Linked DNA regions of Oryctolagus cuniculus. The protein of the gene in region 5 purifies or fractionates together with the protein of the main gene of each other region. This does not show direct contact. Links are inferred from orthologs where the notes say so. Each region holds a gene or a part of one and is shown on either strand. Other genes may lie near its edges. The genes, in order: RUVBL2, NAP1L1, EPC1, MBTD1, H2AZ1, ING3 and KAT5.

Region 1 (2,859 bases), on a different chromosome or scaffold from region 5:
GCACTGGCGTCAGCTGGGGGGGGTACGGGAGGGCAGCGCAGAGGCTGCCCTGGGACCTGCATCTGGGACGGGGGCAGGGGCGGCTCCGAGGCCCACGCTGCTCCCTCACGCTCCAGGTGCGGGTGCTGCCCGCCGCCCTGCCGCCCGTGCCCCAGCCCGTGTGCACCTACCGCGAGCTGCGCTTCGCCTCCATCCGCCTCCCCGGCTGTCCACCTGGCGTGGACCCCGAGGTGTCCTTCCCCGTGGCCCTCAGCTGTCGCTGTGGGCCCTGCCGCCTCAGCAGCTCCGACTGCGGGGGTCCGCGGGCTCAGCCCCTGGCCTGCGACCTCCCCCACCTCCCAGGCCTCCTCTTCCTCTGAGGCCCCTCGGCCCCACCTCCCGCCCCACCCCCACTGGTGGAGCCAGCAGGTGCCCCGCTCCTCCCCTCCCAATAAAACTTCTCCATCTGCAGGCTGGGGTGTCTTTCTGTGGGTTCCGGGGGACGCACACACACCCAGGGGCCAGTTTCCAAACCATTTTATACAAAGTCACAGTGTCAGAACTCTGGTAGAAAACAGGGTGGGGGAAGGGGCAGCGCTCGGCTCAGGACGTGTCCATGGTTTCGCCTTCTGTGGGGAGGAGGGAGGCCCGGTGGTCAGCCTGAGCTCTCCCAGGCCAGCCTGCCACGCCCCGCCACGCCCCGCCCCGCCCTGCCCTGGCACTCACTGAGCTCATTGAAGAGGAAGGCGTCCTGGTACTCCTTCATGTACTGCGTGGAGCGGGACTCGTCCAGGAAGAGAGAGTACACCCGCTTGATGTCCTCCACCTGCACCTCCGTGCCCTGGGGAGGCCGAGTCCTCAGTGGGCCCCTCCCGCAGGCACACAGACCCCAGGCAGCCAAGCGAGCGGCAGCCAAGGCCAGGGGCTCCGGGCGAATCTCCCAAGTTCCAGGCCTGCCTCGGCCGGCCCGGCTCACCCTGCACGCCTCAGGTCCTTCACCGTGAGAGGGACCTCACGGCTCCCACACACGGGCCACATGCTTGCCCGGCCCCGGGGATGTGCCAGACACGGAAACAGACCCAGGCAGTGCCTCTGGAAACGCGTTCTAGGACCCCCGGCCACACCCCCGCTGACCTTGCGTTTCCGGCACACCAGGCTGGCAGCGGTGATGAGCTGGATGGCGTAGCGCAGCGAGGTCTCCAGCCCGATGCGCGTCAGCACCGTGTAGGCGTCCTCGCTCATCTCCACGTCCTCCTCCTCGCACCTGTCACATGGGCACGGGGGGGCGGGGGTGAGAAGGCTCAGCCAGGGCTGGCCCAGCCCTCGGGGTCACGTGAGGAGTCTGCGTCCCAGACCCACAGAAAGCAGAGGCCACAGGAGCCACCGAGGCAGGGGCCGAGAGAACCTAGAACCTGGGCCTCCTGAGCCCCTTCCCCGCCCCCCGGATGAGGCCTCTGCCTGGAGGCCCCACTCAGCCCCCCTTGCAGGCCCAGCAGCCAGGGGTCCCCGAGTCTCAGGTGGGCGGTCCTGCCCGCACCGGATGCGGAGGATCTGCTTCGTGTCCTTCTCGCTGTAGGGGGAGGTGGAGACGATGAGCAGCCGGTCCAGCAGGTCAATGGGGAGGCCATGGGGGCTCTGGTAGCTGGTGCCCCGGATCCTGGGGAGTGGGAGACAGGGAGGGCTAGCAAGTGACGTGTGTGGGACCCTGCTCTGTCCCCTGATCCTCAGACCCTACACACCCCGTCTACCACAGCCCACGCGCGGGGCCAGGCCCCACTCGGCCTCAGCCCCAGCTGCGTCACCCCCACCCCCGGGCGCCCCCGCAGAGCCGCGGCTGGGCGTCTGTGTCCAGGATTACTGCTCCAAGGTCCCACGCCCCTGCTCGAGGAGGGCAGACACCGGCCCGGCGTGTCCCCCGCTGCCCCTGGCCTGGCGCCCGCCGGGCTCCAGGACGGCCACGGCAGCTGCGTTCTGTGATGTCACCGTGAACACTCAGCGAGGACGCCCCCACGGCTGCTGGGGGACACGGGATGAGGCTCCCGCCCCCTCTCCAGTGTCCTGTCCATCATGCGTACGGAACCTGGGGCTGTGTTAGTATACATTGCTGAGTCACTCACAGAGCCCACGGCCAACAGCGCCGTCTCTCCAAGGCGTGTCCCAGCCTGTCCCTGCTCAGCAACGTGGCATGGCACTTCAGCACTACGCTTGGGTGTACCTCAGCTTCGTTTTATTTATTTGAAAGTCACAGTGAGGGAGAGAAGGAGAGACACCATCTGCTGGTTCACTCCCCAAATGGCTGCGATGGCCAGGGCTGAGCCAGGCCACAGCCAGAAGCCAGGGGCTTCATCTGCGTCTCCAAGAGGAGGTGCAAGGCCATCTCCTGCTGCTTTCCCAGGGGCGTCAGCAGGGAGCTGGATGGGAAGTGCAGCAGCCGGGACTTGAACCAGTGCCCACTGGGGGTGGGATGTTGGAGTCACGGGCAGTAGCTTAACCTGCTGTGTCACAGCTGCCGGCTGGCGTATCACCACACCACACACACACACACACACACACACACACAACACAAGCATCTTGACAGACAGGGAGACGAGAGGGGGGCTGCGGCCAGCAGGCAGAGCGCGGCCTCATCCAACCTCAGCCGGGCACCTGGGCATCAGGGACCTGAACTTACGCTGCTCTGCGCATCTCTGCCAGTGACCGTGAGGGCGCCCCGAGTACGACCCGGGGAGCCAACCACCTTTTTGCAGGCAAGCAGGTTTACAAGTACAGAATCGGCTACGGACGGGGAGCGGCGGCAGCCAACTCACAGCCGTCTGGAGACGAAGTTGTGGCCCTGCTACCTTCCAGACCCGAGCCCAGCGCAGCTCACGGGCCCGACTA
Region 2 (3,500 bases), on a different chromosome or scaffold from region 5:
TCTCATATGGGCGCTGGTTCAAGGCCCGGCTGCTCCACTTTCCGATCAGGTTCATTGCTATGGCCTAGGAAAGCAGAAGATGGCCCAAGTCCTTGGACCCTGCGCCCGCATGGGAAGACCAGGAGGAGGCTCCTGGCTCTGGGCTGGCACAGCTCTGGCCATTTGTGGCCAATTAGGGAGTGAACCAGCGGATGGAAGACCTCTCTCTCTGCCTCTCCTTCTCTGTATAACTTTCAAGTAAATAAATAAATCTTTAAAAACAAAAAAAAACAGACTGCTAAGGTTTACACTTAGCCTGAATCAGAAAAATATAAAGTCAGAACCAAAACCAATGTTTTTTTTAGTAAAGGTGCACTGAAATCATGTGTAATGCCAGTGAGGATCAGAAAAAGAAAAAATTTGCTTTATTATAAGTTTTTAATAGAAAAAATAAATCAACTGTTACTTTAGCCTGCCTCAAATTTAAGATAAAGCAGTACTAATTTTGCTCACCTTTGGGTCATAGTCTGGATCATTTTCCTCATCTCCTTCTTCTTCCCCTTCCTATATTAAAGTTCAAAATGCATCCATGAAGTAGGTACAAATGGGAAATACTGACTCATAATGTAGGGAAAATTTAATACAAGTTACTCTATGAGTCAACAGATTTTCATGATTACAGAGTTGTTGACAGTACAATTTAATCTGAAAGCTTTTAATATGAAAAATTTCCCAACACAACTCGAGACATCCAGACAGCCTTTATTGAAAAGATTACTGCAGCCAACGTTGAAAAAGTTTACTGCAGCTTTTGACTTCTTCAAAGAGCTGATAACCCTGCAGCAGAACAAAATTATTTGAAATAAAAAAAAAAGTTGCTGAGTTTTGCAATTTATTTATTGAAACCTTATACATACATTGTTTGGCTGTAGAGTTCTAAAATCATATATTCCAAAATGTATCCCAAATCACAGAATAATGATTATAGCAAAGGAATACATAAGTCACTCAATTTGCTTCACATTGTGTTAAACAGAGAACTATTTGTTCATTTGGTAAACATTACCTCATCCGCTTCTTCACCTTCTTCATCATACTGAAAAGGAAAACAGTGAAGTGCCAACATTAGTAACATCTGATATGTATACACTTAAATGAAAAATACAAAACATTTTCTCCAAAATATGTTAGCTACAGCAAGCATTCGGCTCAGTTATTAACTAAATAACCAGGCAATTTAGTATAATCATATGAATGAATCATTATCACACAATTACTTGCCTGAATTTATCTGTGGAACATATTGCACAACAAAGACTCAATACCTATTAGCAATAAAGGTATCCAAGAAAGGGCAGCCTAATTCAAACTAAATCATTATTTAAAATTCTCTTAGATAAAATTTTATGCTGTCTAATAAATACTATCTTACCTACAGAAAAATTCCTAGTTCTGTTTTTTGTGATCATAGGCAAAAGCCTAATACCTCTATAATGCTAGCCAAATGTAAAACTTTTCACTTGATCAGAATGATGTTTCCATTGGTAGCAAAAGCAAAAATAAGATAAATGAATGTAAAGAGGCTAAGAAAACCTACTTAATATTAAGCAAGCTATCTACAGGATTATCTGTAACTAGACCAACTTTGAATTATTCCATGTCCTAAATCTAGATATAGTGTAAGTTCTAAATGTCTAAAACCTAACTTCTTATCAATTCTATCTTACCCGCAACCAAATTATTTCATTACAAAATACAAATTCACTCACATCATCGTCATCATCTTCAATAGCTTCTCCAGTAAAGTATAACACTGATCTTGGGATTATACGTTCACGTAAAAAGTGACCAATTTCAAAGTCTGCAGCAAGGATAGCTTCAGCATCATCATCCTATTTTTTGAAAAGGGAAACAAAAGCACAACATTTAAGAATAACTTCATGTGATAAATTTATACTTTTTAATAAAAAGAAAACAAGTTAGCAGGCTGTGTATATGTTAAGAAGATTGGGGAAATAAAACAATATATAATTTTACTACATACTAATTTTTGAAAAATGAGAACACTAATCTGAATACTAAGAAAAAAACAGGCTTTTATAAATAACTAAGTATATGAAACACAGAAAATCACAGTAAGAGACCACAGAAAATCACTTCTTCACACTTCCTAAAAAGAGTTAGCAAGCAGCTGTACAGTTTTAAGTCTACTTAAATGCAAATGAGACAGAGTCCTTGACAAAATCAATCAACTAAGTCGATCTGGAATTTTTATTTAATGGCTAAACAATGCACAGAAATGCTTCTGACATTCATCAGTACACATTCGAGGAATGTTTACTGAGTCATCAACATAATGCACACTAACAGAGAGGGAGGGAAGACGACTGAAGAAAGGGATTGCAAATACAGATTTCCTATCCATAACTGAGAAACTTTGTCAACCATCAATATTCACAATATAGGAAACAAGCAATCCAATAAAAACTCCAATCCATCTATGGACAGGCATTCAAATAGTTATCTTCCTCTATATACTTCTTTGAGGTTGTGGTTCAAGTTCTACAGTAGGCTTAATTCTTGGCTATATGCCACATATTTGAACACCTTAGTATATGGTCATGATATAAAACCATATTTTCATTGTGATAAGAAACAGGATAAAGCTCTAATAATATGGCCAAAGAAATGTAACAAATGATACCAAGGACCTAATTAATCTTTGTCTCATTAAGAATACAGTAATTAGGGGCTGGCGCTGTGTTGTAGTGGGTAAAGCTGCTGCCTGCAGAGCTGACATTCCATACGGTTGCCAGTTCAAATCCCGGCTGCTCCACTTCTGATCCAGCTCTCTGCTATGGACTGGGAAAGCAGTAAAAGATGGCCCAAGTCCTTGGGCCCCTGCACCTGCGTAGGAGACTAAGAAGAAACTCCTGGCATCAGATTGGCCCAGCTCTGGCCGTTGTGGCCATCTCAGGAGTGAATCAGTAGATGGAAGACCTCTCTCTCCCTGTCTCTCAGTAATTCTGCCTTCAAATAAATAAATCTTTAAAACACACACACACACACACACACACACACACACAGTAATTTTGAAAAATTAAAACCCTCATAAAAGTATTTTCATGTTTCTAAAGAAATTTTCAGCTTTTCATTTCATTGTTTTTCCATGGAAACCTTTTTTGGATGGAACAATTTTTTAGATCTCTACAAGTTTCTTCCACGAGGTCTCAGAACCACAATGCTAGTAAGAATCACTAACTCTCCACCTTTGAGATAATTTCAAATACAGTAAACAAGTCAATAAAGAACAAGTCAGCTTACCAAATCTCCGCTCTCAGGAACTGTAAAATGAGGAAAACAAAAAACATCAAATTATTAAGAGTAAATAAAGCTTAGTATAACAATAAACAATCATCAATATTCAAGCTAAAACACTATTTACCTTCAGGAGGGGCAAAAAAATTAAAGAAAGAGTCATTGGAAACTGTTTTAGTCACAGTACGAACTGTCCCACGTCC
Region 3 (4,054 bases), on a different chromosome or scaffold from region 5:
CTGCAGGGAGAGGGGGCCTCTACTTAAGTTGTTTCTTAAAAAAAAAAAAAAAAAAAAAAGTTTAATTAGGCCAGTTTAGCTTATATTATTAAGATTGGTTAAATGCAGTACAATAGTTATTTCCCCCATGTTAAAATACCCATATTTCTGCTCACTTTTATAATGACTACTTATATTCCCGTGTAAATGTATCTTGCTCATCAAATGCTTTCTCAAGGAGCCAGGTATCCAAGAGCCTCACCTCATTCTGCCCCCTTCTTTCACCACCACCATCACCACTAAGCATGTATCTTTTTCTAAACTTGAGTCAATTTAGGTTCTAGGTTACTGGGACCTAAGAATGGGCCTAACTAATTTGTCAAAGGCAGAGGTTTGTTTCAATCCTTCCTCTAAGTACAAAATATTCTCAGCAAATTTGTATCAAAAGGCTTTTGTTTTTCTAAAGTTAAGGCAACTCAATTACCTTTATTAACATTTAGTATACATTTTTAATACTGTGTAACACACTGCTTTCAAGATGGTGATATGTATGGCCTCTCGCAGCACCACAGAAGTGAACAGCCGCTTATCTACCCAGGTACTTTCTTGACACTCTATGATTAAGTTCAGTACCTATTCTTGAGGTGTTACGCTTCATTCATCACAGTTTTTGTTGGATGTGAAGTGTTGTAGCTCTTGGGACTATCCAAGTATTCATAGAAGCAAGATAGAACTAAATGTCTAAAGTGTACTGTCGTGCTGTCGGGCTTTTTAAGCATTTCTTCCTTGGCTGTATAACAAGAACTGTAAATCAATTCCCAGGGCCGAGTCACATCAACTCCCCACCTTCAAAGTATTACCTGTCAAACTGACCGAGAGAAACAAAATAAAACCAAAAGACAAGATGCTGCAATCACAAGTACTTTAATTTTTTTTTTTTAAATCACTTATTTAACAGATGGCAGGACTCTACTCTGAAGTTGAACCAAGGAAAACAAACGGAGTGGCACAGTCTCGGAGGTCAGTCCTGCACTAGGAAATCCCACTGGCTCCGTGCGCTTGGCAGGCAGCGTCTTCCGCAGGCAAAGACACCACTCTCAAAGGTGACACTCCACTGCCACAACTATTTCACTTGAGACGCTTAAACGACCCGAACAGTGTAAAGAGTTTTATTTGCAAAGACAGCATTACAGAGCACAGCTTCCACACTGCAAAGGTTGCCGGTCCCCACGAAGTATTACAGCACCCAAGAAGTCCGCGCTCCCTGGACTCCTTGAACTGTCAAGGCACTGCCCCTGCTCACTCGGCTGCACCTGCAAGGAGTGGTCGTTAAGTTACTGTCAAGCAGCCGGGGCAAACCAGAGGAAGAGGCCATCATGTTCGCGTCTGGACCCAACTCCGCCACCGAGCGAAGCCACGACTGGGATACAAGGTCCAGCCCTGAAAGCAGTCATTTAAATACAGAAACCCACTCAATTTAAGACACCCCAGCGTTAACACTCGTGTGGGTGGGTTTCCTTAAACTGAGCGGCTAAGGGGAACAAAGTCCTTGCCTCTCTGTCCAAATGTAGCGCTACCACGCTGCCCTTGCTCACACGTGGAGCGATTAAAAGGCAGGCGCAACTTCTGTTCCAAGTAAATCATCCAGAGAAAGGCTTCGGCACGGCCGCGCGGCCCCGCACACCCGCGCCCTACGCCCGTGTGCGCTCCGCTCCCGCTAACTAGCGCTGCACGAAGCCGCGTCTCCCACCAGGAGTGAAGGGGCCCGGGCCGGCACGCAGCGCCCCTCGGGCGGGCCCCGCCGGGGCTCCACGTGGGCGCCGTGCAGAGCGCCCAGCAGCGTCCCAGGCCACCGGCAAGCGAGCGTCCCCGGCTGCGCCCGCGCTGCCCGGCGCCGGCCCCGGAGCGCCACCCAGCGGCGCGCGGAGAGGCCTGCAGGCGGGGCCTCCGCGGCTCGCGGCTCCGCGGCTCGCCGCACCCCCACCGCCACCCAGCCCGCTCCCCTCGCCGGATGCACAAGGCCCAACCCAAGCACTAAGACCACAAAATGGCTGCCGGCAGCTTCGTCACGTGACCCCTTTGTGCCTTTCGGGCCCCCGAACTCCGCGGGACCCGGGTACCAGGGCCCGGGGTCGGCGGGTGGCCCGAGAGGAGGCCCCGCCGGGCCGCGGCGGCCGGGGGTCGCGGCCGGGGGCGGCGGGGGAGCGGCCCGGCCGGCGACCGAGAGTCGGCGGCGAGGAGAAGATGGCGGCCATTTTGTGTGGGTCGGCTGCTCCGCCGCCGCAGGCAGCAGTGGAGCGGGCCTGGCGGCGGGTCGGACAGGGGAGTTAACACGTACCGACTCCTCTTCCTTCTCCATTCCGGTGGGCATCTGCGGCACGGCCCGGTTTATCGAGGCGTATTCGTGCAGGTCGGGCAGATCCTCACAGCGGAACACCGGCAGCGGCTTCGAGGCGTCTAGCGCCCGCGCCCGAAACGACAGTTTACTCATCTCAGGCGCAGCAGATACCTCTCCGCTCTGGGGAAACGGCCCCGGCCAGCGGGATCATGGAGAACCGGGGGTTCGGTCCCCACTCGCCTACCGCTGCCGGGGACTGGAGGGGCGGAGCGCAGAGCCCGCCGTCCGGGCACTAACACCAGCCGGGAGGGTGGGAGGCTGTGCCGCTCCGCTCCTCTCTCGCTCGCTCTCTTCAATACGCCATGGCCAACATGGCGGACATTAAAACTCCACTGTGCGCTCTTCAGCCAACCCCAGCCATTCCCCACACTGCATCGCGCAGCGGCGCGGGCACGCGGGGGGGGGGGGGGAGCGCGGGCTCGAGGCCGGGCGCCGGCACGGAGCGCGCGTCCCGCCAACCCCCGGCGCCCGGCGCCCGGCGCTCGCGGCTCGCGGCTCGCGGCTCGGGGCCCCCGCCCGGCGCGGGCTCGGGGGCGGCCGGGGCGCTCGGACGCCGGGCGCCGGCCGGAGGCTCCCGCTGCACTTCGGGGCGCAAACGCTCACTTTCTCACGCTCGCTCCCGCCGCGCTGCCCCGCGCACTCCTCCACTCCTCCCCTCCTCCCCAGCCGGCGCCGGTACAGGGAAACTGCGCCCGCACGCCCGGGCCTGGGGAGGGCGACGCGGAGGGGACGACGGGCCGAGGCTGCGGCCCCGGGGTCACCGGGCTCGGGCACCCGCGTCACCGGGCCGGCGCACGGACGCCGCGCACCCCTGCCCGTGCGGGTCTTTAACATAGAAACGCACACGGAGTGCTGCTTGCGGTAAACTTTTACCGGCAATTATTTTTATGTCGACCGGAACTTCGGATTATAGTATTTGATAGGCTCCGCGATCAAATCGCTGGTCAGTTTCCCACCCGTGGGCAGGCATCCTATTCCACTACAAAAGTAGCTCTTAAAAATGCATGCTACATTTTATCTTATGTGTTTTACTGTGATTGAAGCAAAGGGGATTATACTGGACACCACCTTCATGAAAAAGCATTTAAATCAAGATCTACTTCAAAACCTTAACGCCAGTTATTTATATTCAGTTCACGATTTTCTGTTTGCACCGCAAGAAAAAAAAGCTGTTTTCAACATCGCCATGAGTTCTCGCTCGAATTTGTCCTCTGAAAACTTTATAAAATGGAATCATACAAAGACCTGGAGCGATCCCACCGAACCCAACGAGAAAAGCTGAACGATTGGAAGAGGTTTGGATGGAGCTGACAGACTGCCAACACCTGGTTTATATTACACACTAAAGTGGGTATCCGCTGATCCCTTTCCAGGGAGGTATTTTAAAAATCAGAAAGATTGTTGCAGTGGGTTTTGTAAGTGTGACAGCAAGATTTCACTCGTATGCCAAGATGCAAACATGTTTTCTAAGTCTGCCTTTCTCGCCGGGGGCTACATAATAAAAAATAATCGCTATTCCCAAATACTGGGTTTGGGATGAACTGTTATTAGCTTACGGGGCATAGGGGAACTGCTATCTTCCAGGCTGGTTTAGCTGCCCTCCACTAGGTGGGCAGAAGACAAGGGGAGCGGAAACCACAATTCTCTGCAGTCACCCTCCACCTCCAACATGGGCAG
Region 4 (4,293 bases), on a different chromosome or scaffold from region 5:
TTTAAAAATAAAACCAGTTGTTCCTGTCTAGTATGTTCAGAATGCAAATATCTCCAAAGCCAGTCAACTTAACTCATGACACTTCATGTTTAAAGCAAGCAGGAAAACAACTTGGAACTGTATTAATTAAAACTTGAAAGACACAATTATGTAGCTCTAGTAATTTTGTTTGTGACGTAGTACTCAATTCCACACTACATTCCATTTTCTAGCTTCAGAGAAAACGCTATACCAAAGTTTACATTAGGATTAAAACTCGGATGGTTGAAAAACATGTCCCAACATAGGACACTCTGAATACTTACTCAAAAACAGATTTTTGCCATAATATGCAACGTATACACAGGCCTTGACTACAGAGTTCTATACAAATAGAAGCTACCTGTTATACAGAGGAGATGGTACAAAAAGAGACAGCTGTTTTCTTTTTAAAGACTTTTGAGTGTTGAGGTAAACAAATGAGAAATAACACCTTTAGCAACCAAAAGCAAAGCAACAGTCTACATATCTTGAGAGGGAGGGGAAAAATTGTGGTCTCTCAGACCTTTTAAACAGGCTATCAGGAACTTAGAGTAAAATGTATTCACTTGCTTTTAGACATGACTTCGACATAATATGTATTAATTCTTACTTCACCATATTAGGAAAGGGAAAACATATGTACCACCACCCCCTTCTTATGCCATCTAAACTACTGGAGGCAGCTAGCTCACAAGGAAAGAGAGCTTTAGACAATCACTGAGTGACAACAGCTGAAGCTGAACTGCCTTAACTACCCAGTGATAAATACTGGGGTGTACTCATGCGAGCAGCATTAAAATACTGCAAATTCTAAGGAAATACTAAGGTGTTGCATAAGCTGCAAGTCTCTCTATGATGGAGTTGCTGGAAGAGGGGCTCCTGGGTGGGAGACCAGCTCTGATAAGTTAAACAAGCGAGAACGCTGGCGGAGGGATGCTGTTCTGCTCAGCTCCACCGGCTGTTTCTTTCTAACGGCTCAGTAGCATCACCACAAGGCAACGCCAGGCTTCCTTAGGGAAAGCGGTTTAGGTAGCAAGCAAACACACTTCATGGTAGGGCTGACTATACCGATGACGCTCAAATGTCCAACTTCAAAAAGATGCACTGACTAGGGAGAGAAAACGGCCTGGAAACCCTCAGACTGTCATTCCCTGGTTTCCTGTGTGTGTGTGTGTGTGTGTGTGTGTAACAAAAAAGCACAACACCAGTTTCTTCAGACGTCTAAGCCAGCACGCTTGACACCGACCCGGCAAAGTTTTCAGCTGGCCCTCGCTCGCCCTCACATTCTCTTTCCTCCACTTCCCTGCCTGCTGTTCTTTCCTGGTACACAAAATATAGGCCAATGAGCAGTGGGTGGGTGAGGAGGATGTGAGAGAAAAATTTGAGAAGTTGGAAAAAAAAAAAAAAAAAAGAGCAACTTCACCAGGACGCGAATGACAGCGGAGGATCTCTAAGGACAGGCACACAGCAATGCGAACCACTGAAACACGGAAGGGGCTTTCCTGCCCGAGGCCAGACTACCTACCACTTGTCAGAGAGGCTGCACGGGGGACGGCGGCCGTGGTGACCTCTAACGTCTCCTCCGACTCTGAAACGTGAGGATTCTCAGTTCACACAGGAGAACGCCGAGCGCACCCAAGCCCACCGCCTCGGGACCCTTCTAAGGGAGCGGCCCCAAACACCACTCCCACCCCGCCCTCCCACACGTGCCCACCCCGCCCCCTTGCAACATTTCCACCTCCACGTGCAAAATGCCTCGCGGCACCTCCCCCGGCAAAGCCCCCAAACCCCGCGCCTGCGACCCCCTGGGAGGTGAGGACTCGGCTCGCCCACCCCGGGCGGCTCAAAAAGGAAAAAGTCTCAGACCCAGCCTTCCCCCCGACCCCCAACCCCCAGCCGCAGCGACACGGGGACGGGGGCGTAGAGAAAAAACTTTCTTTTCAAAATTTCCTTCCCGACTGGATGAGCCGGAGAGAACCTCGACGCGTCCCGGGCTGAGGCAGTGGGGGAGGGGAGCCCCTGAGACGTTTAACGGCCGGTAGGGGGAGGGGGCTCCGCGGGGTGAGGGGGCGTGGGGCGGAGGAGCGGGCCTGGGAGCGGGGTCAGGGAGCTGGAGGCGTGCCCCCCCACCTGGCACACAAAGCGGCTGCCGCGCTCGGCTCTCACCAGATCCTTTGTGTTTTCCATCAGGGCCTCATGGGTAGGGGTTGTCCGTGCTCCCCGAGCCCGCGGCGCCCCCTCCCCGAGCTGGGGGCAGGTGCCTCTCCCCCGGACTGCGGCGACTACAGGGGTTCCCGGCTGGGCCCAGACCGGTGGCGGCTGCAGCAGCCCCCGGATTTCCCCCCTTTAACTCGGGTGGCCCCAGGATATCAACAACATTAGCATAGCCCTCCCTCCCAGCGCGCCTGCGCCGTGACCCGCGCCCCGATTGGCCCACTTCCCCACATACCCTCCTCTCGCTCTTCCAGCGTGGGACCCTCGGCAGGCTCCGTACTCTACGGACCGTACCAAGACCGAGGGTGGGAAAAGTAACTGAGGCTGGCGTTCTGTCGAGTGGCTAGAAAGTCTGGAGGAAAAGGAGGCGTCTCATTCAGTCATCCCAGCTGGTGCTCCTGTTCCCTTAAACGTCTTTCGATATGCTCCAGCTGCGAGGTTGTGTTGGGGAAAATTTTCCACTCCAGTCATGCCGCTTACCCCTACACCCGGAAGATTGCTTCTCCCAAAGGAACTCCCACTCGGGGCGGGGCAGGCGAGGAGGAACAGAGTTACGTAGTGTGGGGGCGGGGAGGGTTGGTCACGTGGCAAGAGGCTGCGCAGGCTCCTTCCGGCCCCCGGGGCTGCGGCGGCCGCGGGAGGTGAGGCGCCTGGGCGCATGCGCTTGAGGTTCCACGTGAGCGCCTGCGTTTCTTCTCAAACTCAACGATGCCGCCGGAACGGAGGAGCCGAACGAAACCGGGCCGGAGAACCGGAGCGAAGCCGGATCGGAAGACTCGAATGAAGCCAGAACGGAGAGCCATTGTGGCGACGGGCGGGCCGCCCCGAAAGTCTGCCCTTTCATCCCAGCAGAAAGCGCCGGCCCGGCCGAGCGCGGCGGCCGCGGCGATGGCAGTCGCGGCGGCGGAGGAAGAGAGACTGCTCCGGCAGCGCAACCGCCTGACGCTGGAGGACGACAAGCCGGACGCGGAGCGGTGTCTGGAGGAGCTGGTCTTCGGCGACGTGGAGGACGACGAGGACGCGCTGCTGCGGCGCCTGCGGGGCCCGCCGGTGAGGGAGGCCGCGGCGCGCGGGCTGGGCGCGCTCGGGCGGGGCGCGCGGTGGGCGGCGAGGCTGCGGGGGCGGAGCCTCGGCGACCTGCGGCGGCGGCGGGCAGCGCTCAGGTGGGAGGGAGCCCGGGGACGCGGGCCCCGGGGGCCGCCGCGGAGCCTCCGCCGCCCCCCGGCGCGGGCCTGCGAGCCTCGGGAGGGCGGGGACCGTGCCTTTCTCCGCCCCCGGAGGAGCCGCTGCGCCGGGTATCCAGCAGGCGCTCAACACGCATTTGTTTCGCTAACTGTAGTCGCGGGCTTCCCTAGCGGCTCGGCTGCGCTCGCCCGCGCCGGAGCTGAGCCCAGCACCCCCGATTCCTGGCGGTGATGCAGGACTTGACGGGATCGCTTGGTGGGCGCGGGTCTGGGAGTCCGCGTCCTGAGCGCTCCCACGTGGGCCTGACGCACAGCAGCTTTGGAGAATGATCGCTTGTGTTCGCCCATTCAGCAAACTCGAGTATTTGCAAATACTGCCAGTGGCACAGCCTGCGTCATTAGGACCGTTAGGTTCTTTATCACTGTAAATTATATTCCTTTTTTTTTTCCTGCCCATATAGGGAGTAAAATTTTAGGCATGCTGTAGATGGACATTGGGGGGAGACACAGCAGTGGGCAGCAGAGGCAGAAGGCACCTAAATTTAAAGTACATCGGTGACAGGTGTGAGGAGAGGAGAACAGAATACCGTGGGGGGCGGGGGAGTTGGTGTGGGTGGGAAGGTTATGGAGTTTCAGGTCAGGTCGCGGGTCAGGGCCTCCCTAAATGGCTCAATGAGGGCTTGTTAACTGGAGAGCTTATCTAGCTGCAACCTCCGTTGGGTGCTTCGGGTCGAAGCTGCAGCAACCCAGTGGGAGAGGAGTTTGGGAACTGCTGGTAAAGTGCTCAGCACTGTGCAGATTTGTGTCCAGGGAAAGGAAGCGCCTGCCTGACAGAGGGGGATTGGTTGGGCTTGGAGGGTCTGAAACCAGCCGT
Region 5 (4,269 bases):
CTGTGCAGGTGCAAGCCCACCAAGGCGGCCGCGCGCCAGAGCAGTGCTGTCACTGCGGCACAGCCAGGGTGAACGCTCAGCTCACTTGGTCCCTGGTCCCAGGAAACCCTAACCATCTCCAGCTCCTGCAGAACTTCTGAGAAATTCATAGCACATTATGGTGTAACACTACCTTGTACCCGGTATCTGACCTTTGTCGATCTACAGGTTAACAGTTTAATTTCTACAGAAGAAATGTGCCTAGTTACTGCTGGACCACAGTCAAAACAAGTTTCCATTACAAGCAAGCAAATTTAAAACACAACTAGTTTGGGAGATGACCTTTATTGAGCTTATCCACCTAAGTGGAAATAATGTCTGTACAAAACCAAATGTTTGTTACTATAACTTCTGCATCACAATTAAAATCCAAACAGTTTTTTAAAAACAGTCAACTCAATCAAAACCCACTACTTCAGAATCAATAGCTTCTTTGAAGCCACAGTAACACTTAAATATGGTTAAGACTTGAATGCAGAAATTTGGTTGGTTGGAAAGCTAATTAAACTTCCAACTTGCTCAAATAGAATTACAAAAAGGCAAAATTGTGTTTTTCACAGAGATACAGTCCACTGGAATCACCAACACTGGACAGTTGTTAGAGTATTTAGAGTCCTGAGATAACAAGGAATCCAGGCATCCTTTAGACAGTCTTCTGTTGTCCTTTCTTCCCAATCAGAGACTTGTGGATGTGTGGAATGACACCTAGGAGAGTGACAGATAAATTCTACTTTTAATGTAAGTACTTTCAAAACCACACAGTACTTTGAAACCAAGGCATTTTACGCTTCAACGTGCAAGATCTTTCAAAAAAATGTGAAGCTCAAAATACCAAAAACCCATTGAGTTGTTTACATAAACCAAATTTCATGACCCAGCCATACTGCATCAATGAAAACATTCTCAAATGCCCTCTGCTAGACTAAAATCTAATAGGAGTTAGAAGCCAAGGGTTTCTGTCCTCCGAATAAGGAAGAAAACCAACTTTATTACATACCACCACCAGCAATTGTAGCCTTGATGAGCGAGTCCAATTCTTCATCTCCACGAATAGCAAGTTGCAAATGACGAGGGGTAATGCGCTTTACCTTTAAATCTTTTGATGCATTTCCTGCCAGTTCAAGTACCTACAAGGCAGACGCTCATCAATCGCCTTTGACCAAGGTGCAAGGGCAGAATCAAAGCTTAAGGAACAGGAATCTGCCAGGTGTTCCCCCCTATCCAGGGGACACGCAATTACTGCCAGGAGCAGCCAACTCCTCCGGCTCAGGAGGCTCCCTTCCTGGACACCGGCTCCCTCTAGCGTCCTCCCGGGCTTCTCGCCGCGTCTCGGGCCTGGAGTCTTCTTGCATCACTTTCCTCCTTCCCTCCGGCCGCCTCCCCCGCCCCCCCCCCCAGCCCTGCCTCGATGATAGGCGTCCGCTCAGTTACCTCTGCGGTGAGGTACTCCAGGATGGCAGCGCTGTACACGGCGGCAGTCGCGCCCACACGTCCGTGGCTGGTCGTCCTAGATTTCAGGTGTCGGTGAATGCGGCCCACCGGGAACTTAAGCACACACAAACAAGAAACGCATAAAGACAGGGAGCCAGGGCTGGCGGGATCGCACGCGCGCCAACGCAAGGGGCCCGGACGCTGGTGCAGCCAGGCACCCTAGCATCCACACACGTGATCGCCGCCCCCCCCAACCTTATTTATCGTGTGGGCAGCCCCCAAGTCGCGACACCGCATCCCCAACGCGAAGACGAAACGCCCATCTAGGGCGATGATAAACAAGAAAGGGGGGTGGGAGGGGGTGTGCAAAGAAAAACGCCACGGTTCGCAGACTGCACGAACAACTACTGACCTGCAAGCCGGCTCTCTGCGAGCGGGAAACCGCCTTTGTCTTGGCCTTTCCGGAGTCCTTCCCAGCCTTACCGCCAGCCTGCGGCGCGCACACGCCCGCGAGCGGAGGAGGATCGGAGAATATAGAATTACCAGGGCGGCGCGCCCCTCCCCCACCGCGGCGCGTCCCCGCGCCCCGCCGGGGTCTCCGGCCCGCCACGCGCCGCAGGGGCGACCCCGCCCGCCGGCCCCCGCCGCGCGCCCGCCGCGGCCGCGCGCCTCCGCCCGCCCGCCCGCCGGCCCCCAGAGGCGCCGCGCGCGCCACCCAACCGTCGCCGCCCGCCGCGACAGCCGAGGCTGCTCCGCTCGCAGCCGACACGCCACCTCCCCCCCGCTCGTGTAAATCCCGTCTCCGCACGTCCCCAACCGTCGCCACTTCACCCTCATCCCCGTGGGTAGCGGGTTTCTCTCCCGCCGGCAAAATCCCGCGGAGTTACCGAGCGCCCCTGCGAACTTTACCATTTCGAATTCTGCGGAAGCTCAAACAAGCAAGGCAGAGAAAGGGCTAGTCTGACACACAGCGCGATCCCACCACCTACTCCTCCGTCGCACCGCGATTCAAACTGCGCTGTCTCCCGCCTTCCCCGCTGCCTTTATACTGCAGAATGTTCCCTCATCCGGGAACTCGGATTGCTCATCCCACCAATGGCTGCCGCCCGCCCTCGGGACGCGTCCTTGAGGCCTCAGCCAATGAGAAAACGAAGAACAGGGCGGAGAGGCGGGCGCTTCCAAGCTCGAGCCGCGGTTGGCGCGTGGGGAGGAGGTGGGGGAGGGCGGAGGGATGGGAACGGGGGAGAAGAAGGGCATAGCAGCGGGAGGGAAGAAACAGAACGAGGTGCGCAGCGCGAGCGAAGAAACCAGCAGGCTCAGTCACGTGTCTGGGAGGAGGAGCTGAGAGGCTCAGGGGAGGGGCGTGGGACAGCGCCCCCCGCCGGTCCCTTAGCGGGATTGCAGAGGCCACGTGAAGTCTCCTCGGGGTCTAGCGCGGCCCCCACCCCTAACAGCACCGCCTGGGTTCTCGCCGCCCGGAATCGGCTCCCCTGCAGCCTTCTTCCGGGGCCCCGGGCACCCATTCGCCTGCCGCCCTCCCAGCCCCTGGCGGCTGCGCTCGTCTGACAGGTGGCGCGACCGGGTCGGCCAGGACTCGGCCGTTTCCTCCCTCTGAGCTGGTTCCCAGCCGCCGGCGGATCCCACTTGAATTTCAGCGGAGTCCTCTCCTCCTCTTTCCCCCACCACTTTATGAAGACACCCCCGCACACACGCACGCACACACACGAGGTGGTTCTGTGACAACAGTCGGCGGAGCCGAGTTACCTCGCTGGGCACAAAAGACCTTTTTGTTCACGCGTGGGGAGCTTGGCGTGAGCTGGTATTTCTTTAGTCAAACCGTATTTTTCTGGTGTCTACAGGTCGGTGGGTTGTACCCACAGGCCGGTGTCTAGAGTTGATTTAGTGAAATCTCAGAGCTATTATGTGTCAACTTTTCTACACTAAATATTTCGCTGCGTGACAAATGTTCGGTAAATGTCAGTGGGGTAACTAACGTGATTCACAGGCAGTTACAGATGGTCCATGTAATCAATTGCAAATGGTGGGCTTAAAAAATAGTACTGTACACACAGTGCTATAATAATGCCAGCTACTTAGTCTTCCAACTAATAGATTAATAACACCTGTGCACATCTCCAGCTGTTTGGGAATATAATGTTACATGTTCAACAACTGAACAGTTGCAACTTGAAGTATTTGAAACATACATTCTAACTTTAGGTTTCAAGGTTTCAATTTGAAAGTTTTTTGTTTTTTTTTGGGGGGGGGATCAAAGGACATTCCTGTTTCTGGGATATAAATTCTAGTCTATCTTTTCATTATTCTCCTTGGAACTGAGGAGTCCTTGTGATGTCATCAATAGCAAGAGTTCATCAGATCTCCAACTAAATTGATAAGATGGCGATAAAAAGCTGTGAAACTCAATGTAATAGTTAACCTTGTCGCCAGTGAGGCTTCACTCAGAAACCAATATTAATGCCTTCTCCGATTTAGATAATACTCTCTCTGGGATGAAGCCCAACTGAAGAGAAATCTCTGTTGCCTCTTTGGATCGTGTTTGAGAGAATGAATGGATTCGGGGCAGGCAGACGTGAATTCTTCTGCTCTGCGGCCTCCTCACTGTGTCATCTGGGCGACCAAGCTTTGGGGGCTTCAGGTTCTTCTGTGGAAAGGTTATATGCCACCTATTTTCACAACCTGGTTGCAAGATTAAAGAAGGTATACACTGTAGAGGATAGTAGTGGACACACAGTAAGCACTCAGTAACTCCTGTTATCTTCTACACTAGCCACTGGAGAA
Region 6 (4,064 bases), on a different chromosome or scaffold from region 5:
ATCTGACAATAAACACTGTTCCACTTGACCAATAACTTGAGTATGTTATGCTTCAGTTACATAAATACATAATGCTCACTTAACTTAATCTTTAAAAGTTACACATTTCCCTACTACTTATTTATGTTGTTTTTTAATTTTTTCCAATAATTAAACTAGGATTAACAAAGTGGATCAGAGCTAAACCACAGTTTTTGAAGAGTACAGCCTCAGGGGGTTGGGACACAGTCAATGGCTAGCGGTATTTAATCAACTGAATGTGCCCAACCACAGTTACTCACAGAGACCACCACTAAAATATCCTCACATGGCTTTTCATAAGAAAATCAGTAAAAAGTTTTTAACAACTGGCTCAATGGCACTAAGCATTCCATCATTTCATATCAAAGCTGAAAGCAGTAAGTACAACCATTTAGCACTTCATACACGATATTATTTATTCTAAGTAAGTTTTTCCTGAAGTATATGCCTAGAATAATGAATAGTTTTTCCCAAAAAGAGGAAAAATAAAAAGATTTCCATTGCTAATTAGGTTGAGGAAAATCTCTGTACTATACTCATCTTTTGGAGATTGCCAGTGCATAATCAGCTTTTTAAAGATTGAGAAGTCCCATGGTTAATTTATAAAAAAGTATTTTCCTTTGGGGTGCTGTGACATAGTAGAGTAAGCCTCTCCCTGCAGCACTGGCATCCCATATGGGCACCGGTTCCTGTTCTGGCTGCTCCTCTTCTGGTCCAGTTCCCTGCTAATGATCTGCGTGGGAGACCTGGAAGAAGTTCCCAGCTCCTGGCTTCAGATCTGCTCAGCTCCGGCCGTTGAGGCCATTTGGCGAGTGAACAAATGGACGGAAGACTTCTTTGTGTTTCTCCCTCTCTGTCTGTAACTCTTTTAAATAAATAAATAAATAAAATTTTTAAAAAAGTATTTTCCTTTAAGCATTCCCTAACTTACGTGACATATGGTCATTTTTGTTAATTCATAATACCTATTAACTTTAAAGAATTCTACTTATTGTTAAAAAAATGCTAGTTTAAAAAAACTTGTAGTTTGTACAAGCTAAGTTCAAATTAAGAGAATTTAAAATGTGTAACTGCAATGAAAATGTTTATAACAGAGCCACCCTTTCTTTAACACCTACTTTGTATCAGATATCATACATTCTAACTTATCTGTATTATTTTTAATTCTCATTGGATTCTCTTATTACAGTCAATGGAAACTTCTCAAAAGTGGTAATGCAGTCGATCGAGGTCAATGAGTCTACTGATAAAGCTATAAAATAAACGCAGATCTGCCCGACATCGAAGTCCACACTCCGTCCTACACAGAACTCTACTCAGCGTGTCACTGGCCTTTCACTACACTGCAGTTCAAACGCATGTTGTCAGCCAGCTGCAGAATCGTGCTTCTCACTTCCTGCCACGCTACAATCTAACCAACAGAAAAAAAGGTGGCTTTTGTGCCACATTCCCACTTGTTACGTGCTACATAAAACTGTGCAGAAGCTGAGAAAAGCAGAATCATGAACCTTTGGGTAGAGAATCCTAGGTGGTCACCAAGTAGACACACGGAGTGGATTGCGAAAGAAAGGTTCTTCAGCCACCTCGGGTAGTCTCTGGGCCACCTACTTAAGAGTCCTTGTCTGAGAAAAAGTCACCAGACTCGCAAGCCGTCACTGGAGGACAGGGAAGCCCGCTGCCAATTATTACCACTGACCAGCCTGGCAGCAACATCTTATCTCCCGCTCATTCTGCCTGGAAAAGAGGATCGAGCCCACAACTCCAAGCTTATCCTATAACGTGTGATGACACTCCAGGTTTGCCGGGATCTCTGAGGATCTACTCCTAAGCCGGGCTCTTGGACGTTTCGGAATGAACTCGAACAGAAGTACAAACAGATGCTGAAATCCAAGTTCGATCCATAAAGGCGCTGGTCAAAATCTCAGCATTTACGGGATCATCGCTAACCCACACCCGGTATTACCCTCATGAGGATATAAAACATTTTTTTTTTTTTGCACAGTCCCATTTCGAGGAAGCAATACATATACTCTAATGCCTTCTTATTTCGTCACAGGAAAAAAAATAATAATAAATGGAGCGTGGGAAGAAAAAAAAAAAAACCAGGCGCGATTTGGCCCTGCCAGCTCTTCTCCACAACTTAGGTGCCCGCGGAGCGCCGCGCAGGAGCGGCGGCAAGCAAGCCCGGCTCGGAACGCGCGCGGCGGACGCGGGCAAACGTGCCGACTTACTCTGCACCTGCAGATCCATCTCGCGCATCTCCGTGAAGCGGTCCCGCAGGTCCATTGGAAGCTGCTCAATCACTGTCAAACAAGAGTCCGTCAGAAGGGCGGGGCCCACAGCGAGCGTACGCGCCTGCGTCACTGCGTGCGTGCGTGCGTGCGTCGGGGGGGGTCGAGGGAGCGGGCAGCCCACAACGAGGCTGCCAGTTACCGTGAGAGAGAAACATCCCCCGCCTCCCCCTCCCTCCCGCCATCCCGCCTGCCCGTCCACTCGCGCTCTCGCCCGACCGCAGGTCCCACGGGCGGCCCCCGCCGGCGCCGCGCACTCACTTTCCAGATAGTCCTCTAGGTACAACATCGCGGCCCTTAGAGCTGGGGGAGCGAAGGGGTCCAGGGGTTTATTTGTGTCACTCGCTGTCGCCGGAGTTTTGTCCCTTCCAATATGGCGCCTCCGCTAGCAGCACCCGCTCGACTCCGGCGAAAAAAAAAAAAAACAAAAAAAAAAAAACCACTTTGGGCGCCTGACGGCGCTTGCCTCATTGCCGCCCGGCGCTGTCATTGGCTGGCTGCCGCAGTGACGTAGGCCGGCCAGGGCCTGCCCGAGCGCCTTTGTGGGAAGTGTAGTTTCTGTTCCTTCTGAGGCAGGGCGGCCGTGCCGCCCGTTCTGTGAGGGAAAACTACGGACACCAGGCGCCATTGCGAGCGGTGCGCGGAGGGCTCCGAAATGCGGTGCCTCTGTTTATTTGTTGATTTTGGCACAGGGGATGACGGGACTTGTATGCGCCGGCATCAGACAACTAGGAACAACTTTTCACCTGTTCTTTGCTGCGGTTCCATGCCCGGCGTTTGTGAGTCATGGGTTTCGCCTGGTGCTGGGCACACAAGCAGAGGTTCTAAACGCTAGCGTGATCAGCGAAGTTCGGGCGATTCCCATTGTTGCAGACAGAATTCGGTGCTTCAGTGTTGACCGCCGAAAATATAAGGGGGGAGGGAGGGACGTCTGCTTGACTCCATGTAGCCTTCAAATAGTTTATCAAACTGTGGCGTGTATGTGCACTCCCCGGATGAAAGGTGCTGGAATAGTCATCAGCGCCAGTTTAGACGAGAGTGGTTTGTTTCTTGTTTTTTTTTTTTTGTTGTTGTTTTTTTTTGTTTTTTCGGTCCAGCTCATCGTCATTGTCATCCTCATGTAATCTGTACATACAACCTATACCTGCAGCAACAACCAAAAAAAAAAAAAAAAAAAAAAAAAAAACCCTGAGCAGTCATAAGTAGCGGGTGGAGCCTTGATGTCTAATGAGCTGAACCAGCAATTTAGATTATGTTGAGTAAGTAGCATGTGTTAGAAGTCCTGGGCGTTGTCTTCCCCTACTTTTGGATTTCTCCCTGCCAATATTGACCGGTGATATATGTTAAGTGTGCATTGCTGAATTTATTTTAAAATGTTTTTCCTCAGGAGACTCTTACTCTAAGTGTTAGGTGGTGGTGTTTCCCATCTTTCTTAACTCTCTCCGTTTTTCAGGGAACAGTGTCGTCAGTGTGAGTGTTCTCCGTAGCCGCTCCTCTGCTCAGGGCTTTTCCACTGGTCTTAAGCAGGATGCTTGACTGTCCTGTTGATACGTCTCAATGGAAACTTACCTGGTCCTATTAAGAATTAACGTAGTTAATTTTACACACTTGAAGCTAAAATCTAGCACCTTCACTCTTCCTCCTTTCCACTTTCCCTCCCTTCCCTGCCCCTCTTTTCCATTTTCCCTCCTTCTGACTACTTTGAAAGATCTGCTTGATATTTTTGCAGATTCACTGGAATCTTCCTCTTCT
Region 7 (4,019 bases), on a different chromosome or scaffold from region 5:
TGTCCCCCCAACCGCTTTAACACATCAACAGCACGGGTGCTGGTCAAGGGCGCAGTCCAGACACCATGCTCGGCCCCAGCCCCCGCAGCCAGGGGGCCCCAAGGCCCAGCCGCGCTGTCAGCGCCGCGCGTCCCCATGGGAGCCGCTGCCCCTGCTTCCCGGCCTGCCCGGCGGAGTTCCAACAGGACCTGCTCGCGAACACGTGGCCCTCCCTCGTCTCCAGACCTCTTCCTCTCTCTCTTCCTTCTTAGCAGCTTCACAAAGACCAAGGCGGGGTGTAGTAAAACGGCGCCGTCTTCCTAAGCCCAGCCCGGCTCAGCCGAGCGCGGGCTTCCCAAGGCCCAGCCGCAGGGTCAGCTCCAGCCCACGCTGAGGGGCCTGGCCGGCCACGTCCTCCCTCCGCACGGCCCCGGAGGACCCGTTCGCCACAGGCCGCTGCTCTGCGCGCCAGGGCCCCCCCCACAGTAACCCTGCCCCTCACTCCGGCGTCTGGTGTTCTGTGGGGGCCCACGGGCCGCGGGACACGCCAGGCCCACACCCGTCTGCCTGTCCACCAGACACGGGCCAGCGCGTGCAGCGCGGCGCGGCTGCCCCCGCGGGACGGCCTGTGCGTCTGGAACTTTCTCTGGGTCCCTTCAAGCCTTCTTTCCAATAGTTAAGCTTTCAGCCAGCGCTGCCCGGCTACTCCAGCCCGACCGCCCGCGCCTGACCACCCTGCTCGGGTTTTCGGGGTTCCCCAACACTTAGCCCTGAAACAGAGGCAACCGCGGCCATTAACCCTCCCCTCCCCGCAACTTCCAGGAACGCGAGCTCCGCCAGGGGAGGGGTCTGTCCGCTCGCCCCCACGCGCTCCAGGGCCGGCAGTGGAGCCCGGCACACGGCGGGAACTCACCGCACGTCTACAGGCCGCAAAAATAACGCACACACCGGTTCTCAACCAGGAACTCGGGGTACGAGGTTAGACACCCGCGCCCCCGCGCCTCGAACTCGGCCCCGCAGCCGTCCCGCTACTCCCGCCCACTTGTCCAACTTGGCCACGCCCACCGCCCGCCCTCAGGCCCGCCCCGCGCCCAGCACGCGCACCCGGCGCCGGGCGACGCCTCCCGCCGCCACTAGGAGACTCCCGAACGCGGCCGCCCGTCCGAGCCCAAACACTAGTCCCACGTGACCCGCGCCGCAGCCACGTGACCGGCGTCGCACCCGGTGGGCGTCACGTGACGGACTCAGTTTTCCTCCAATCGCGGCGCACGTTGTGGAGGTTCCACCCAAGACCTGGCCCGAGGCTCCGAGCACCCCATTTTCGCGCCGGCCAAAAGGGCTAGCTCCCCGCTTCCAGCCGGGCGGCGGTGTCCCTCAAGGGTCCTTTACTAAACAGGCTCAGAGGGCCCGGGTCTGCAGCGTTCGCGATCCCGGAAGTGACGTCTCCCAGAGGGGCCGGAAGTGGCAGTAGAGGGAGGGAAGATGGCGGAGGTGGTGAGTCCGGTGCCCGGGGCGGGGCGGAGGGAACCAGGGGAGGTGGGTAGAGCCCGCGGCCCCACAGTAGCCGACCCTGGCGCCGCGCTGTCTCCCCAGGGGGAGATAATCGAGGGCTGCCGCCTACCTGTGCTGCGGCGGAACCAGGACAACGAAGATGAGTGGCGTGAGTGACGTCGGGGGGCGGGGCTAAGAAATACGAGGCGGGAGGGAGTCAGCCGAATGGGGCGGGGCTTCTAGAATGCTGGTGCGGGCGGGGCGCTGGCGCTCCAAAGGAGGGGCGTGGCTTCTAGCCGTTCCGACCTGGACAGGGCGGGGCCTGGAGAGTGGGTTGCACTTGGTGTCTGAAGGGGGCTTGGGCGCGAGCTGCGCAGTGCTGGGGCGCGGGGATCCGGCCGAGGGGTGGGGCTCGGGTCCTAGGAGGGTGGCGTCTCGGGGCCCTGCCCGTCTAAGGCCTCTGCCTGTGCCGTTCCCATAGCCCTGGCCGAGATCCTGAGCGTGAAGGACATTAGTGGCCGGAAGCTCTTCTACGTCCATTACATTGACTGTGAGTCCTGGGCCTGGCTGAGGTGGGGCTGCGGGGCGGGCGCGGGGCGGGGGCAGCCTCTGGCATTCCGTCCTGAGCCATGCCCACCGCTGCAGTCAACAAACGCCTGGATGAATGGGTGACCCACGAGCGGCTGGACCTAAAGAAAATCCAGTTCCCCAAGAAAGAGGCCAAGACCCCGACCAAGAACGGACTGCCTGGGTCCCGCCCCGGATCTCCCGAGAGAGAGGTGGTGAGTAGGGCCCCACTCCACCTCTCCTGCCTCCTACTCTTCTCGTCTCTCGGCCTTAGGGGGCTCCTGGCTGGGCAGGAGGCAGCACCCCCCGCCCCGACTCCAGCTTGCAAAGCATGGGGCCAGGTTGCAGATGTAGCTTCCGGTCCAGTGGCCAGTCCTTGAGAAGGCAGCGGGCGGGGCTCAGTCACTCCACGCCGAGGGGGCCCCTCGTCCCCTGCGCCTCCCCACCCCAGAGGAAGACCCTGGACCTATCTCTGCAGCCGGCCTCCGCCCAGGCCAGCGGGAAGACCTTGCCAATCCCGGTCCAGATCACGCTCCGCTTCAACCTGCCCAAGGAGCGGGAGGCCATTCCCGGTGGTGAGCCCGACCCGCCGCTGTCCTCCAGCTCCTGCCTGCAGCCCGGCCACCGCTCCACGGTACCCTCAGCACTTCAGGGACCTTCTTTCCTCTCAGGTCCCCCTTCCCTACCTTCTCACCCACCGGCCTCGGTTTCCCTCTGCAGAAACGGAAGGTGGAGGTGGTGTCGCCAGCGACTCCCGTGCCCAGCGAGACGGCCCCGGCCTCCGTGTTCCCCCAGGTAGGCCCGAGCCGTCTCGTCTCACTGCCCTGCCTGCCCTGCCCCCGCCGGCGTCTCCGGCTCAGCTCACAGCCCCCCGCATTCCCGCCGTCTCTTCACAGAATGGGTCAGCCCGTAGGGCGGTGGCAGCGCAGCCAGGGCGGAAGCGGAAGTCAAACTGCTTGGGCACGGACGAGGTGGGTCTGGGGGCTGGGTGGGGAGGGGCCGTGAGGCGGGTGGGCGGGGGCTGGGCCTGGTCTCTGAGAAGTGGGGTCACAGCAGCTGCCCCGGGGTCGCAGACGGGCGGCGCGTGGCTCCTGTAACGTGCCGTCTCCCCCGGCCCCGGCAGGACTCCCAGGACAGCTCCGATGGCATCCCGTCGGCTCCGCGCATGACTGGCAGCCTGGTGTCCGACCGGAGCCACGACGACATCGTCACTCGGATGAAGAACATCGAGTGCATCGAGCTGGGCCGGCACCGCCTCAAGCCGTGGTACTTCTCCCCGTACCCGCAGGAGCTCACCGCGCTGCCGGTCCTCTACCTGTGCGAGTTCTGCCTCAAGTACGGCCGCAGCCTCAAGTGCCTGCAGCGCCACCTGGTAGGCGGAGCCCAGGAGCGCCCGCCCTGCGCCCCAGAGTCCAGGAGCACCCGCCCCGCCCCCCAAAGTCCAGGAGCGCCCGCCCCTGCGCCCCCCAGAGTCCAGGAGCACCCGCCCCGCCCCCCAGAGTCCAGGAGCGCCCCCGCGCCCCCCCGGAGTCCAGGAGCGCCCGCCCCTGACCCTCCTCTCCTCCTCAGACCAAGTGCGACCTACGCCACCCCCCTGGCAACGAGATCTACCGCAAGGGCACCATCTCCTTCTTCGAGATCGACGGGCGCAAGAACAAGGTCAGTGGCCGCGGGCAGCGGGCGGCTGCTGCTTGCTCGGGGGCACACTGGCCTGCCCAGCCGGCAGCTTGTTCAGCCCGTGGTGTTAAGAAAGGTTTGTTTATTTGAAAAGCAAAGTTAGAGCGTGGCATCCGCTGGTTCACGCCCCAAATGACCACGAGGCCGGGGCTGGGCCAGGAGCCTGGGGCTCCATCCGGGTCCCCGCACGGGTGCAGGGGCCCGAGCGCTTGAACCATCTTGCGCTGCTTTCCCGGGCCACAGCAGGGAGCTGGGGTGGAAGCAGAGCAGCCGGGTGTTGCAGGAGACGGCTTAACCCGCCGTGC

Evidence for each region.
Region 1: the proteins of H2AZ1 (region 5) and RUVBL2 purify together in Homo sapiens (affinity purification with mass spectrometry; 6 studies listed by BioGRID and IntAct, with this or other methods). This does not show direct contact. The link is inferred for Oryctolagus cuniculus from reciprocal best matches to the Homo sapiens genes H2AZ1 and RUVBL2.
Region 2: the proteins of H2AZ1 (region 5) and NAP1L1 purify together in Homo sapiens (affinity purification with mass spectrometry; 3 studies listed by BioGRID and IntAct, with this or other methods). This does not show direct contact. The link is inferred for Oryctolagus cuniculus from reciprocal best matches to the Homo sapiens genes H2AZ1 and NAP1L1.
Region 3: the proteins of H2AZ1 (region 5) and EPC1 purify together in Homo sapiens (affinity purification with mass spectrometry; 4 studies listed by BioGRID and IntAct, with this or other methods). This does not show direct contact. The link is inferred for Oryctolagus cuniculus from reciprocal best matches to the Homo sapiens genes H2AZ1 and EPC1.
Region 4: the proteins of H2AZ1 (region 5) and MBTD1 purify together in Homo sapiens (affinity purification with mass spectrometry; 3 studies listed by BioGRID and IntAct, with this or other methods). This does not show direct contact. The link is inferred for Oryctolagus cuniculus from reciprocal best matches to the Homo sapiens genes H2AZ1 and MBTD1.
Region 6: the proteins of H2AZ1 (region 5) and ING3 purify together in Homo sapiens (affinity purification with mass spectrometry; 5 studies listed by BioGRID and IntAct, with this or other methods). This does not show direct contact. The link is inferred for Oryctolagus cuniculus from reciprocal best matches to the Homo sapiens genes H2AZ1 and ING3.
Region 7: the proteins of H2AZ1 (region 5) and KAT5 purify together in Homo sapiens (affinity purification with mass spectrometry; 6 studies listed by BioGRID and IntAct, with this or other methods). This does not show direct contact. The link is inferred for Oryctolagus cuniculus from reciprocal best matches to the Homo sapiens genes H2AZ1 and KAT5.

The regions. Positions count from the first base shown.
Region 1 is NC_091449.1:8,256,209-8,259,067, forward strand, and holds the end of RUVBL2 (ruvB-like 2), read right to left. Parts: intron 1,637-2,859; coding exon 1,517-1,636; intron 1,244-1,516; coding exon 1,114-1,243; intron 821-1,113; coding exon 706-820; intron 609-705; coding exon 583-608; 3' UTR 501-582; downstream 1-500. Other genes in the region: LHB (lutropin subunit beta), read left to right, coding at 117-359. UniProt on the Homo sapiens protein: Possesses single-stranded DNA-stimulated ATPase and ATP-dependent DNA helicase (5' to 3') activity; hexamerization is thought to be critical for ATP hydrolysis and adjacent subunits in the ring-like structure contribute to the ATPase activity.
Region 2 is NC_091442.1:78,557,995-78,561,494, forward strand, and holds part of NAP1L1 (nucleosome assembly protein 1-like 1), read right to left. Parts: coding exon 3,425-3,500; intron 3,324-3,424; coding exon 3,304-3,323; intron 1,872-3,303; coding exon 1,749-1,871; intron 1,076-1,748; coding exon 1,046-1,075; intron 817-1,045; exon of another isoform or gene 544-816; coding exon 493-543; intron 1-492. UniProt on the Homo sapiens protein: Histone chaperone that plays a role in the nuclear import of H2A-H2B and nucleosome assembly.
Region 3 is NC_091444.1:102,740,375-102,744,428, forward strand, and holds the start of EPC1 (enhancer of polycomb homolog 1), read right to left. Parts: upstream 2,801-4,054; 5' UTR 2,471-2,800; coding exon 2,318-2,470; intron 1,146-2,317; exon of another isoform or gene 1-1,145. UniProt on the Homo sapiens protein: Component of the NuA4 histone acetyltransferase (HAT) complex, a multiprotein complex involved in transcriptional activation of select genes principally by acetylation of nucleosomal histones H4 and H2A.
Region 4 is NC_091448.1:27,053,661-27,057,953, forward strand, and holds the start of MBTD1 (MBT domain-containing protein 1), read right to left. Parts: upstream 2,801-4,293; 5' UTR 2,471-2,800; exon of another isoform or gene 2,152-2,470; intron 1,610-2,151; 5' UTR 1,547-1,609; intron 1-1,546. Other genes in the region: UTP18 (U3 small nucleolar RNA-associated protein 18 homolog), read left to right, coding at 2,944-3,285. UniProt on the Homo sapiens protein: Chromatin reader component of the NuA4 histone acetyltransferase complex, a multiprotein complex involved in transcriptional activation of select genes principally by acetylation of nucleosomal histones H4 and H2A.
Region 5 is NC_091439.1:65,412,978-65,417,246, reverse strand, and holds H2AZ1 (histone H2A.Z), read right to left. Parts: upstream 2,801-4,269; 5' UTR 2,383-2,800; coding exon 2,380-2,382; intron 1,961-2,379; coding exon 1,883-1,960; intron 1,585-1,882; coding exon 1,471-1,584; intron 1,167-1,470; coding exon 1,037-1,166; intron 745-1,036; coding exon 683-744; 3' UTR 309-682; downstream 1-308. UniProt on the Homo sapiens protein: Variant histone H2A which replaces conventional H2A in a subset of nucleosomes. Nucleosomes wrap and compact DNA into chromatin, limiting DNA accessibility to the cellular machineries which require DNA as a template.
Region 6 is NC_091434.1:156,936,583-156,940,646, reverse strand, and holds the start of ING3 (inhibitor of growth protein 3), read right to left. Parts: upstream 2,801-4,064; 5' UTR 2,602-2,800; coding exon 2,574-2,601; intron 2,325-2,573; coding exon 2,253-2,324; exon of another isoform or gene 1,530-2,252; intron 1-1,529. UniProt on the Homo sapiens protein: Component of the NuA4 histone acetyltransferase (HAT) complex which is involved in transcriptional activation of select genes principally by acetylation of nucleosomal histones H4 and H2A.
Region 7 is NC_091432.1:6,003,904-6,007,922, reverse strand, and holds the start of KAT5 (histone acetyltransferase KAT5), read left to right. Parts: upstream 1-1,219; 5' UTR 1,220-1,461; coding exon 1,462-1,473; coding exon of another isoform or gene 1,474-1,572; coding exon 1,573-1,639; intron 1,640-1,951; coding exon 1,952-2,020; intron 2,021-2,115; coding exon 2,116-2,252; intron 2,253-2,515; coding exon 2,516-2,671; intron 2,672-2,757; coding exon 2,758-2,832; intron 2,833-2,933; coding exon 2,934-3,008; intron 3,009-3,160; coding exon 3,161-3,409; intron 3,410-3,606; coding exon 3,607-3,696; intron 3,697-4,019. UniProt on the Homo sapiens protein: Catalytic subunit of the NuA4 histone acetyltransferase complex, a multiprotein complex involved in transcriptional activation of select genes principally by acetylation of nucleosomal histones H2A and H4.